Ovis aries: one gene and its partners. The protein of the gene in region 2 purifies or fractionates together with the protein of the main gene of each other region. This does not show direct contact. Links are inferred from orthologs where the notes say so. Each region holds a gene or a part of one and is shown on either strand. Other genes may lie near its edges. The genes, in order: CCNYL1, CDK16 and CCNY.

Evidence for each region.
Region 1: the proteins of CDK16 (region 2) and CCNYL1 purify together in Homo sapiens (affinity purification with mass spectrometry; 4 studies listed by BioGRID and IntAct, counting the BioPlex papers as one, with this or other methods). This does not show direct contact. The link is inferred for Ovis aries from reciprocal best matches to the Homo sapiens genes CDK16 and CCNYL1.
Region 3: the proteins of CDK16 (region 2) and CCNY purify together in Homo sapiens (affinity purification with mass spectrometry; 3 studies listed by BioGRID and IntAct, counting the BioPlex papers as one, with this or other methods). This does not show direct contact. The link is inferred for Ovis aries from reciprocal best matches to the Homo sapiens genes CDK16 and CCNY.

What each region holds. Positions count from the first base shown.
Region 1 is NC_056055.1:209,790,523-209,794,270, reverse strand, and holds the start of CCNYL1 (cyclin-Y-like protein 1), read right to left. Parts: upstream 2,594-3,748; 5' UTR 2,212-2,593; coding exon 1,986-2,211; intron 1-1,985. UniProt on the Homo sapiens protein: Key regulator of Wnt signaling implicated in various biological processes including male fertility, embryonic neurogenesis and cortex development. Activates the cyclin-dependent kinase CDK16, and promotes sperm maturation.
Region 2 is NC_056080.1:57,590,453-57,594,100, forward strand, and holds part of CDK16 (cyclin-dependent kinase 16), read right to left. Parts: intron 3,158-3,648; coding exon 3,063-3,157; intron 2,966-3,062; coding exon 2,903-2,965; intron 2,650-2,902; coding exon 2,526-2,649; intron 2,326-2,525; coding exon 2,205-2,325; intron 2,096-2,204; coding exon 1,998-2,095; intron 1,914-1,997; coding exon 1,808-1,913; intron 1,727-1,807; coding exon 1,684-1,726; intron 1,537-1,683; coding exon 1,446-1,536; intron 669-1,445; coding exon 591-668; intron 491-590; coding exon of another isoform or gene 453-490; exon of another isoform or gene 176-452; coding exon 135-175; 3' UTR 1-134. UniProt on the Homo sapiens protein: Protein kinase that plays a role in vesicle-mediated transport processes and exocytosis. Regulates GH1 release by brain neurons. Phosphorylates NSF, and thereby regulates NSF oligomerization. Required for normal spermatogenesis.
Region 3 is NC_056066.1:17,432,849-17,436,496, forward strand, and holds part of CCNY (cyclin-Y), read right to left. Parts: intron 3,394-3,648; coding exon 3,336-3,393; intron 3,245-3,335; coding exon 3,125-3,244; intron 1-3,124. UniProt on the Homo sapiens protein: Positive regulatory subunit of the cyclin-dependent kinases CDK14/PFTK1 and CDK16.

The DNA of each region.
Region 1 (3,748 bases), on a different chromosome or scaffold from region 2:
TAATTTAGGCTATTTCATGACTTCTTTTATTCCTATCCATTGTAGTAAATGTATATAGAATGGAGAGGTAAATGTTGCTTCTGAGTTGTGAACAATAAACTCAAATGGAAATAATCAAAACTGAAGTTGAGATAGGCCTAACTTACAGACAAATTATAAAATAAAAAGTGCGCTCCAGTTCTCTTTGAGCACCCAACAACTGAATTTGCTGGATCTACCACTCTGAAGGCGGTCTCTTCTGTTCAGTAGCTATGTTACACAGTTATTTCAGATCTCTAAGTCTTGGCTTCTTCATTGGCAACACACGGAGAATATTCACAGGTCTTATTTATAGATGGAAGGGTCAAGTGAAATACACCCGAAAATACGCTGTAAATCTTAAAAGAATTATGCAAAAGTCCAACTACACTAGCCTACTACTGTTTTTTAAAATCACTTAGAGGCTTACCTTATAGCAACAAACTGAGCAATTTTCACAAGTATGCACAAGTTTTGTTTTTAAAGCTACAATTAATTTATATAATTTATTCTTTCACAGTATCTGACAGTATCTGAAAAGGGAGTACTTTCCACTTACAAAGCCATATTCATCATATGGGTGAGTTCACAGGCTTACCTATTTTAACTTTGAAAGAAATTAAGTAAACCCAAATAAAATTTAAACAGAAAAGCTATAAGACATTTTCTCTAAAGAAATACTCTCTGGCATTTAAATGAAACAATTGGGCCAATGGGGCTTTAACATCTTCACGACACAATGTTTTCTACCTTAAAGAACACAGTCTTTATTAATGAACCACAGTGTTATTCAGAATCTTTTTTTTTTTAAAGCTAGAGCCGTCCAGTTTCAAAATTCTAGAGGAAAAAAATCAAACATTTTCTCTCCTCTGCTCCATGACAACCCACGCCCACCCCCAGTCATTTCGTCTTCAGAATTTTACCTGAACATTCTGAAAGTTGAATAGGATTCCACTGGCAGGAGGGGGTTGGAAGGAGAGGTAGCCATGGAGACAACTTTTCTGCAGGATCTGCCATCTTAACTGCCAAATCTTTGTATTACAAATAAAAGTCTGAATTTCTTTTTTCTCCTTTGAAACTTTTGACCAACAGTTTCAGGAACCACCCCCACCCCTCCCTTAGAAGAGGCAACATGCAAGTGGTTAAAGCTGGGGAACTGAAGACATTTTTGTGTCAAAGTGGGACTGTTAATCAGAGCTCCGTGAGGTAGTCTTTCGGTAAAAACAAACAACAAAACTAGTCCCTGCAGCCGTTGCAGTAACGTTTCACTCCGTTTACAGTTTTTTTAAGCCCCACTCTCACCTTTTTCTTTCCTAGCGTGTTCAGATTACAGTTAGAATAAGGTCGCTTCAATCAGGACAACTCTAGACAGAATTTTACTTAACGCCACACTAACTGTCGATCTGTTTTGATTTTAAATAACAAATCCTAAAATCTGTCTTAATTGTCCCGAATATCAACTATCCTAACGAGTGGAAGTGTATCTAGATCCTTACCTCGTTCCTTCACTTAGGTACCATCTGGATAGGTAAGGATAGGGAGATGGGATGGATATCGCCGAAGTTGGAAGTATTTAAGTTTTCATTGAGAAAAGAAGAGAATACATCAGAAAGTCTTTACAAAGTCCCACGAAATGTTAAATAGAATCACGAACAGGAGGGGCCTCAGACTTGAGGGTCTCGGGTTGGGCTGCGAAATGGGAATGGGGGAAGAATTGGGCGTTCGGGTAGAGAAGAGGGAGAGAGACTGGCCGGACGCGACGGGGAAAGAATAAGGGGTGGGGACACCAGGCAGGGCCAGCCTCCGTCCCCGGTGCCCAGCCCCGAGAGAGCCAACTCCAGGCAGGAAGGAGCCCTAGGCGGCGGCTCCCTCCAGGGGGACCCGGGGGTCGGCGGAGGCCAGAGGTAAGCCCGAGAGCAGACGGCGCCGGCCCCGCGAGGGGCTAGGCGCGCCGGCCGCTTTCTTACCTTCGGGCATCTCCCGGTCGCTGATGTGCTGCAGGTGGTGGCCTTCACCCGCTCCGAAATCCAACTCGGTGGGTTCCACGGCAGCCGGCGCCGGTGCTACTGCCACCGCGTCTCCGGCCGCCGCCTCGTAGACCTCAGACTCGTAGTCTGGCTCCGCCGGCCCCGCGCGCCGGCCCAACTTGGGGCTGGCATTGGGGGACACGCAACAGGTCAGCGTGTTCCCCATGGGGCGCCTCCGCTCCTCGCTGCCGTCGCCTCTGCTCGGCCCCCGACTCCGCCGAGCTCAGAAGCCGCCCCCTCCCCCAACAATGGCGCGGCGGGCACGGGCAGCCCCGGGCTATGCCGGGGCTGCGCCGCGCATGTAGACGCGGCCTCGCCTGCCTCTCGCCTGTCCGCCCCGCCGCCGGGCCCGGGGCAGGGCTCCGGCCCCGGCCGCACCCCCGCTGTCTCGCCGCCGCCGCCTCCCCGGAGTCAACTAGTCTGTGAAGGCGGCGACCAGCCCGGCTTATTTAAAAGGGGTGGGGACCCGACAAGCGCTGAGACGCGCAGCCACTGCCGGGAGAGAGCGCGGTCGGAGCTCCTCCTCCTTCCGCCGCCGCCTCCCGACTGAAAGGCGCTCGCCTGGCTGGCCCTTGCCAACCGGAACGCGTCCTTCGGTCACCTGGTTACGAGGGACCAATCACACACAAAGTTTCCTCCCAGCGCCCGCCTCAGAGAGCAGGCACGTGACTCACAATGCCCCGCCCCCACCCTGCGGCTGCTCCGCCCCTCGAGTGGCGCGCCCTGGACTCCTGTTTCCATTCATCGTGCGGCAGTCGGAGCTTTCCGGTCCTTCGGGAAGCGGTGAGGGAGTTTGTGAATCGAAGCTGTTCTGAGTCAGTGGGCTCTATAGAAGGCTTGTTAGTAAAGAGTCAGTTCCGTTAGCAACTCGGTTTCATCGGGTCTGACAGCTGACTGATTTGATGCATTGCTCAACGAACTTAGTTACACCCGAATCGTTGAGTTTTTTGTAACTAAATGCTCCTCTCGAACTGACTTCGAAAGAGTGTTAGTTTCCGCCTTCAGTTTAACCATAGCAACCCCTCTGTGTCCGTGTCTTGAATGAGACTTGAGGACACGTCACCCCTCCACTTCCTCATCGGTAAATTAGGGACCGAACTCCTCCCTCCCAACTCTGAAACGCTGGGATTCAGCAACTCGATTTTCTCGCTGTTTCTCTCTTCCACGGCACGACTCTCCAGGTTTCCTTACTTTCACCCTACTTTATGTGTAACATAAAGCACAAAGCACGATTTTTCTCGTACGAAACTGAGAGTCACAAAGTGAAGTACCACGGTTTTTATTTAATAAAGATGATGGTAAAGATATACTCCCAAGGTCACATGATTGCTCAGGGGTATGGCCAGGATTTGGTCTCCGATTGTGTGGATCCCCAAAGGCACCTTATTGTGATTATCAGAAAATAAAAGTAGAAGTCAAATTTGATTGGAAGTGGCAAGGGAATGTCTCTAAGGGAGAACAATTTTTTGAGGTGGCTTTAAAAATACTTTCCCTTCTTTCAACATTGGTTAGTCCCTCCTACTTTCTAGGCACTGTGTTCCTGCAATAGCCCTGCCCTCGATGAGCTCAGTCAGGCGCAAGAGAAAATAAAGGCTTAGAAAGTCCAGTTGTCTGAGGTCAGTCACACTGCTGCCAAGTACTTGAACCTGAAATTCAAACCTAGATCTATCTAACCCCAAAGTAGGTTCTGGGGTAAAGAGCTT
Region 2 (3,648 bases):
GAGCCTCAGACCCAAGGCATCACCATGTCTTGTCTGAGTCGAGATCCCCAGCCTGGGCTAGCTCCAGACCCCTGGATGGCCATGGGGTAGTGGTCCTGGGGGAGGGTATGATGGGGAGAGGTCTAGGCCTGGCTTCAGTGTGGGAGGCTGGCACGGCCACGCTGTCCACCAGCAACTACCAAGACAGAGAGAGAAAGAGACACAGACAGACAGACAGACAGACCAGGTGAAGGAGCGATGAGAGCTTTGTTAGCACCCAGCAGACAGGCCAATGGGTGGGCCAACAGGCCAATGGTCGGATGTTCAGACAGGCAGCAGGGGACGTGTGGGCATGGGAGCATGAGTCAGGCAGGTAGGCAGGCAGCAAGCAGGGAGGATGCAGTTGGGGGCTGCCCTGTGAGAGGGGTGTGGCATCCCTCCAGCTGCTGCCTGCTGGGGCCTCGGTCTGTGGCTTAGAATTCGGTGTCCACCACTCGATAAGCTGGCCTGCCTGCAGGGGAAAGCAGAGCGGATGGCTGTTGGTGAGCAAGCAGGTAAGTGGACGGGAGCCAGGGGGCAGGGAAGAGGGCAAGGGTCACACCTACACTTACCTGAGTCAGGCATTGACGAAGATCGAATGCTGGCCTCCTTTTGTAGCTGGATCTCCTTTAGTGCAAATATGGAAGTAGCTGTGGGTGGAGGAGAGACAGAAGTGGGGCATGACCCATGAGGCAATCCAGGACCACCTCCCGTGTGACCCCATCCGGGCAATTAGAAAATTTTCTAATTTTCTTTGAGTCTTGACTTTCATCGGCCAAATAATCCCACACACAAACCAGCTACTAGGGAAAATGGAATGTAGACTATTACATGACACTGAGAAATTAGTAATTTTGTCAAGTGTGACAGTGGTATTGCAATTACCACCTGTTAAGTCTAGATGATGGATGATGTCTGGGTTGTTACTGAGATTAATCCGATGTGTGTTTTTTTTAGTGTGACCATTGTATTATTGTTGTGTTTAAGAAAATATTTTAGAGGTACATGCTAAAATTGTATAGATGAATAATGGATCTGAGACTTGATTTAAAATAATCAGAGTGAATATAGATAAAACCACTGCGGCCATGAGTTGATCACTTGTTAGAGTACTGGGGACTTATTATTTGGTTCAATATATAATAGACCATATTACTTGGTTTAATATATAAATATATGGCATTTTAAGGTAAAGTGATGGATGTTCTGTCAGGTTTTATGTTTGAAAATTTCCATGAAATGTAAAAGAAACTGAAAGCTAAAAAACTTTTTTGTAAAAAACAACATATCACATATGTGAACAAGGGCATATGCCTCACCCCATCAGAGGTGGCACAGCTAGAACTCAACACAACTGCCCAGCTATCTGCAGAAATCCTGTTCCCTAAAGCCCCCCACCAGCTAGTCCACTCCCCAGCCCCACTCACTGTCAGGAAGTTTGTGGATCCGATCCCCCAGACTGAGGAAGAATGGATGTTTCATGGCATCCTCTGCGGAGATCCGATTGCGACCTTCAAACTGAGTGTGTGTTGGGGTGGGGGAGTATTGACACTTTCAACAAGTAGGCTTCTCTTCTTCCCTGCCCCAGACCCTGCCCCTGTAGCTCTGTTTCCCCACACCTGGAATCCGCTAGCCCCCTAGGGTGGCCCAGGAAGGTGGTCTCACCTGCAGCAGCTTGGTGAGGAGGTCAGCCCCGTCGCTGTCAACTCTACCTCAAGGACAAGGGGACCTGTTTTAAACTGAGTTTGGGTACTCTGGCCCCTAACAGCCACCCACCCACCAGCCTCACCGGGGTGCATGGCTCAAAAGGGCCTCGGCTCGGTACTTGGGGTAGTTGTATGTCCTGAACTCTTCATTGGACAGGATGCCTGGCCATGTATCTTCATTTGGGGTTCCTGGTGGGGAAACGGAGTTATCCTAAGCATCTCACAGGGCCTCCCTGCATGTCCCCACAGTTCCTAGGGTTCATGCCTCCTTACCCAAGATGCGGAAGATGAAGTGCAGCTGCTCCTCCACTGTGGAGCCTGGGAAGAGGGGCCGGCCTGTGGCCATCTCATAGAAGATGCAGCCCACACCCCTGGGCAGGGAGAGCACAGTGAATAGGCAGGTAGTTGGCTGGTTGGCTGTTGTGACCAAGCCACTCCCCTTTACTGCGTGGCCCCTGCCACACTTCAGCCTGTCCTTACCACATGTCAATCTGAGTGGAGTAGTCCGTGGACCCGAGCAGGATGTCAGGGGGCCGGTACCACAGTGTTACCACCTCGTTGGAGTAGGTCTTCGTTGGAATTGACTTGGCCCGGGCCAGGCCTGATAGGTGGAGATAATGAGCAGCTGGAATTGAGGAGGTCATGGGCCGTCTGGGGGAGAATGTAGTTGGGACTGAGGGTTTCCCAAGTGAAGCTTAGAGAGGCTGAAGGGGAGGGACTGAGACAGGTGGTCAGGGGGAAGGAGGGGCTGGGAGAGTAAGGTTGGGGGATCACTGGGATGAAGGGGGAGGCCACGGGTACCGAAGTCAGCCAGCTTGAGCTCTCCTCGCTCATTGATGAGTAGGTTCTGTGGCTTGAGGTCTCGGTGTAGCACCTTCTGCCGGTGGCAGTAGGCCAGGCCACGGAGCAGCTGGAACAGGAACAGCTGGGGACCCAGGAACGGCAGGCAGAGGTCAAAGAGTAGCCAGCAGCCTGACCCCAAGCAGGCACTGCTCCCCCTCCCAAACACAAGCACTGAGCCCAGAGCCTTGTCTCACAAATAGAGGATAGGGTCCCAACGCCCTTCAAGGGCTCCCAGCAAAAAAGCCAAACGGGAAACGTCTGTTTCTGGGAGATTTGTGGGGTGGAGTGGGTGAGTGGGGGCCCCCTTGTGCCCCTGCTTCCTGCCCCACACCCACTTTCACGTTGTGCATGTTGATGATGTTCCCACAGTCATCCAGGTACTGCTTCAGGTCCTTGTCCTGAGGAGAGAAGAGCAGGTAGAGGAAAGAGGGTCACGTCCTATGGCTCCTGGCCATCTCCCCACCTCCCCCAGGACCCATGGCCACCCAACCTTACCAGGTACTCAAAGACAAGGGTGAGGGACTTCTCCGTGTGAATAATGTCATGTAGCGTGACGATGTTGGCATGTTTGAGGTCCTTGAGCAGGGACACTGCAGGAAGCAGGGAGTTGGGACGGGGGACGAATCAAGGCCCATACTCAGGACAGAGGCGAGGAGGAGGACTAGACAGGGTCAAGCCCAGGGTTTCCTCCTTTCCCTGTGTGGTTTGGGATGGTGGCTCACAGTCCACTCCAACCCAGCTCCAACCCACCTGCTATCAGGAAGAAGGTGTGTTCCCAAGTTCCAGACATGCAGAGCCAGAACCTGGGATCGCAGCCTTAAGCTTACGTGACACTAGATCTTTACAACCAGTTTTTGGCTTTGGAAAGGGCCCTTGTTCCAACCCTCAGTATACAGACCTGCAGCTTCATGTAAAAATGAGTTTGTACACTCAATTTCTATACAATTCAGACTCATTCCATGTCAAGTAAACTGGTGAGCACTTCAGGGATATTCCCAGAACCAAAGCAAACAATTTACCTGACTCTTCTCAACACAGGAAGACTCCTGGTTACCCTGATTTATTATCTGGATATGTGGAT
Region 3 (3,648 bases), on a different chromosome or scaffold from region 2:
CTGCTGCTGCTGCTGCTGCGTCGCTTCAGTCATGTCCGACTCTGTGCGACCCCATAGATGGCAGCCCACCAGGCTCTGCCATCCCTGGGATTTTCCAGGCAAGAACACTGGAGTGGGTTGCCATTTCCTTCTCCAATGCATGAAAGTAAAAAGTGAAAGTGAAATCGCTCAGTCATGTCCGACTCTTCGCAACCCCATGGACTGCAGCCTAGCAGGCTCCTCCGTCCATGGGATTTTCCAGGCAAGAGTACTGGAGTGGGGTGCCATTGCCTTCTCCCCCTTAGACGCTATTCCTTTTTATAAATGAGCTATGTAAACCTCTCCAAGCTCCCCAATGAAATAGCTTCTCACTGACTCAGTACAAAAAGAAGGTTATTCAATTTTGTTCTTACTTAACCACAGTAGATAGATATTAATAGGTACACTGCTGCTGCTGCTGCTAAGTCACTTCAGTCATGTCCGACTCTGTGTGACCCCATGGACAGCAGCCCACCAGGCTCCGCCGTCCCTGGGATTCTCCAGGCAAGAACACTGGAGCAGGTTGCCATTTCCTTCTCCAGTTAACAGGTATCTTAACATTTAAGATAATGTTTGGAAAAAACCAGGCATCTACCACATCTGATATTCCACTAAGATGAACTAGAGAATTAGATGAATTAGATATGATAACACACTCCATTACCGAGGGGAAGCAGATGTTATGTTTGGGGAGGAGGAATTCATAATAAGCACCACATAATAGCATGTAATTTGGCAGAACTTGCCAAGAAAGCTATATTCAAGGGTCAGCTGTAATTTCTTTAGTAAACTCCCACTTGGGTATTTTAATTTTCTGCCAAGTAAAATAATATACGATTGATTTTTTTCTGAACACCATTCCCTACACCATTGCTAATAGGACACTGCTGCTCAATTAAAATTTCAGATTTAATTTCCTAAGAAGGACCATCCTGAGAGTCTCTAGAAAATACAGGTTAGTGAGTGCTTACAGAGTGTTCAGGTGACTGTACAAAATAAAGCTGTTCGAAGGCATGGCGTGGGGGAGGAGGGGAGAAAGAAAGTGCAAACTCATGGACTCCAGGGTACACAGGACCACACTTACGAGGATGCTGGGTTTCCCTGTCCATCACAGAGAGCAGCTCCAGGTCCGTTCACTGTAGACTCTTACCACAACTCAGCTGACTGGGCCTCCCCAGTGCTTCCTATTTGCTAATATTTGAGGTAGCTGGATTCCTCACTGGACTCTATCTGAACAACACTTTTGACCTTGGTAGAAACCACTAATGTGCCCTATAAAGGGGGTTCTCTGGGGTCAGAATAGATAGATTCCACAGGTGGCCTCTTCACCAGAGTGCCGGCCTCTGAGAGGCACTTTGGGGCCAAGTGACAGCCCTCAGGGCTGCCCGGGGGAACCCGGCTGGGCTGGCATGCCTGGTGCTCCCGGACACACGCAGCAGCAAGTGGCTGAAGGCTCTGGAAGGGTCTCCCACAGGCAGGCAGTGGTCTGGTCCCCTGCGGGCAGCCGGGCAGAGCTAACTGTGGTCTTCCCTGCCTCCTCCGGGCAACAGGCCAGGCCACCAAGGGAAGGCCCAGGAGAAAGGCAGAGAGGGATACGGCCCACCAGCCCTAGCCCAGACCTGCTGTGAAGGGTTGCTGCAAACCTGGAGAGACAGGTGGGAACCATCACACGCAGGGCTCGATCGGAACACAGAGTTGGCTGCCTGCGGCATCCAGGCAGACCCTGGAGACTCAGTCTGCAGAGCTGTGCTTGTTGTGAGGGCCCCCGACGCTGCCCACCTGTCAGCTGTAGCCATCTCCTGCTAAGCCACCAGCTGATGTCCCAGGACAAGGGAGGATTTCAGCAGCTCCCACGACTGACAGACACACACCACTCCCACAGCACTCCCAAGACAAACTAACCACCCACGTCTGCTCAGAGACAGGGGAACAAACTCTACATGTTCTCAACAGAAGTCTCTGCAGAAACTACGTCTTTCACAGGACACAAAGCTTCTTCACACTGATAAATCCAAACTCGAAGGTGCTACAGGGCAAAGTCAGGTCACCATTTTCTTCAGAATGGAAGGCAAAAAAAACCTACCACATAGCATCTTGAAGCAAGAGCTTCAAAATAAATCTTTCTTCAGGGCGTCAATTTAAGTACTCATTATCTGATTTTCTTCCCCTTCTTCCCTCTTTGTCACAATCTCCCTTCATTAAAATGTCAACCCTGCCGCCTGCAGGGGGTTTTTTGAGGACTTGACATCCTTTGGAGGATCGAAGCTGAGCCATAAATATGCTTCTCAGTCATGACCTCAGGGTCTATCAGCATGCCACATCACCTGAGGAGGATTTGCTGGATGTCTGTTCACCTGTCAGGGGGCAAGTTCCAGGAGAGAAGGAATGCACAAACAAACCAGTCCTGTGCCGACGGCTGAGAACATGGGGCTCTCAGTGTGGCGGAGAGGCGGATGGTCTTTACACTCGTCGTCTTACCACAGGGTCTCTTCTCAGGGAACTGCATGGGCCCGCGGGGCAGCCCACGCACTGGCAGAGCCCATTTCTTATCTGAGTGGTGCACAATGGGAAAGGTCAGTGACAGCGGGCTCTGCTGTTAAAGCTGCTTCCCCAATGAGATCGGAGCTAAATCAACCGTCCCTAAGGTTTTAAGAATCTAAGGAAGGTTACAGGTTTTTAACTTGAGTCAATGTGCAGATTATGTCCACACTGTCTCTGAATGTCTCGTGACTGTCTCTGAATGTAAGATGAATGTCTCATCTTACAGACATGTATTTACACAAAAATCACAGAGGAGAAGGCAGCAATTACAGCAGTCCTTGCAACGTAGGGAACCAACACCACAAACCTGGACATCAATGAGGTGGTCCTGGTCCTTCTCAGCACTGTGGACCCTGCATGGGTCGTTTCAGCTTTCCTGCTTCTGAGTGTGATCTGACAGGGGGCTTTAGGTGGGACTGCGGAACAGACCACATGCCCTCTTTTGGGAGATCCAGTTGCTATTCTGGATAAACGACAACCCTGAGGTGGCCGGGGTTCCTAGGTCTACAGTGGACATTCCCACCTGCACCCCACTCCATGGCCAGGTCATCCTGCGGGCACTCACCAGGGTGACGATGGCACATTCTGCAGTCAGCTGAGCAGCACTGAACAGTGTCCGAACAAACCGGTAAATCTGCTTCTGCTCTGGGTTGTGTTTGTCATAATCTGGTGGCACTTCGGATTTCTGGGGAGGGAGACATTGTCAATGACTAGCTGGCCCACAGGAGCCACAGAGACATGACTGGACCACACCCTGGGACCCAAGGGGAGGTTACCGAAAGAGGGTGAAGGTTTTCATCGAAAATATCCAAGAGCATCCTTCCATCTGGGTCCCTGGGGAGGAAAGTAACAGAAAACGGAGTTTCCCTTCTGTAACAGAGTGCCAGTCAAAATGAAAACAAAATATATTCTGATTCAACTGTTATTTCAAGAAACAGAGGCAGTACTGTTAAGAGATGCTACTGATTATTCAGGAATTCTCATTTTTGGGAGACAATACTTAATCACTTTTGAATAGTCCATAAAATAAAGGTTATGAACCCTCATTTAGTAAAGTAAAAATCAAAGACTTTCATTTCTTGAGTTTTC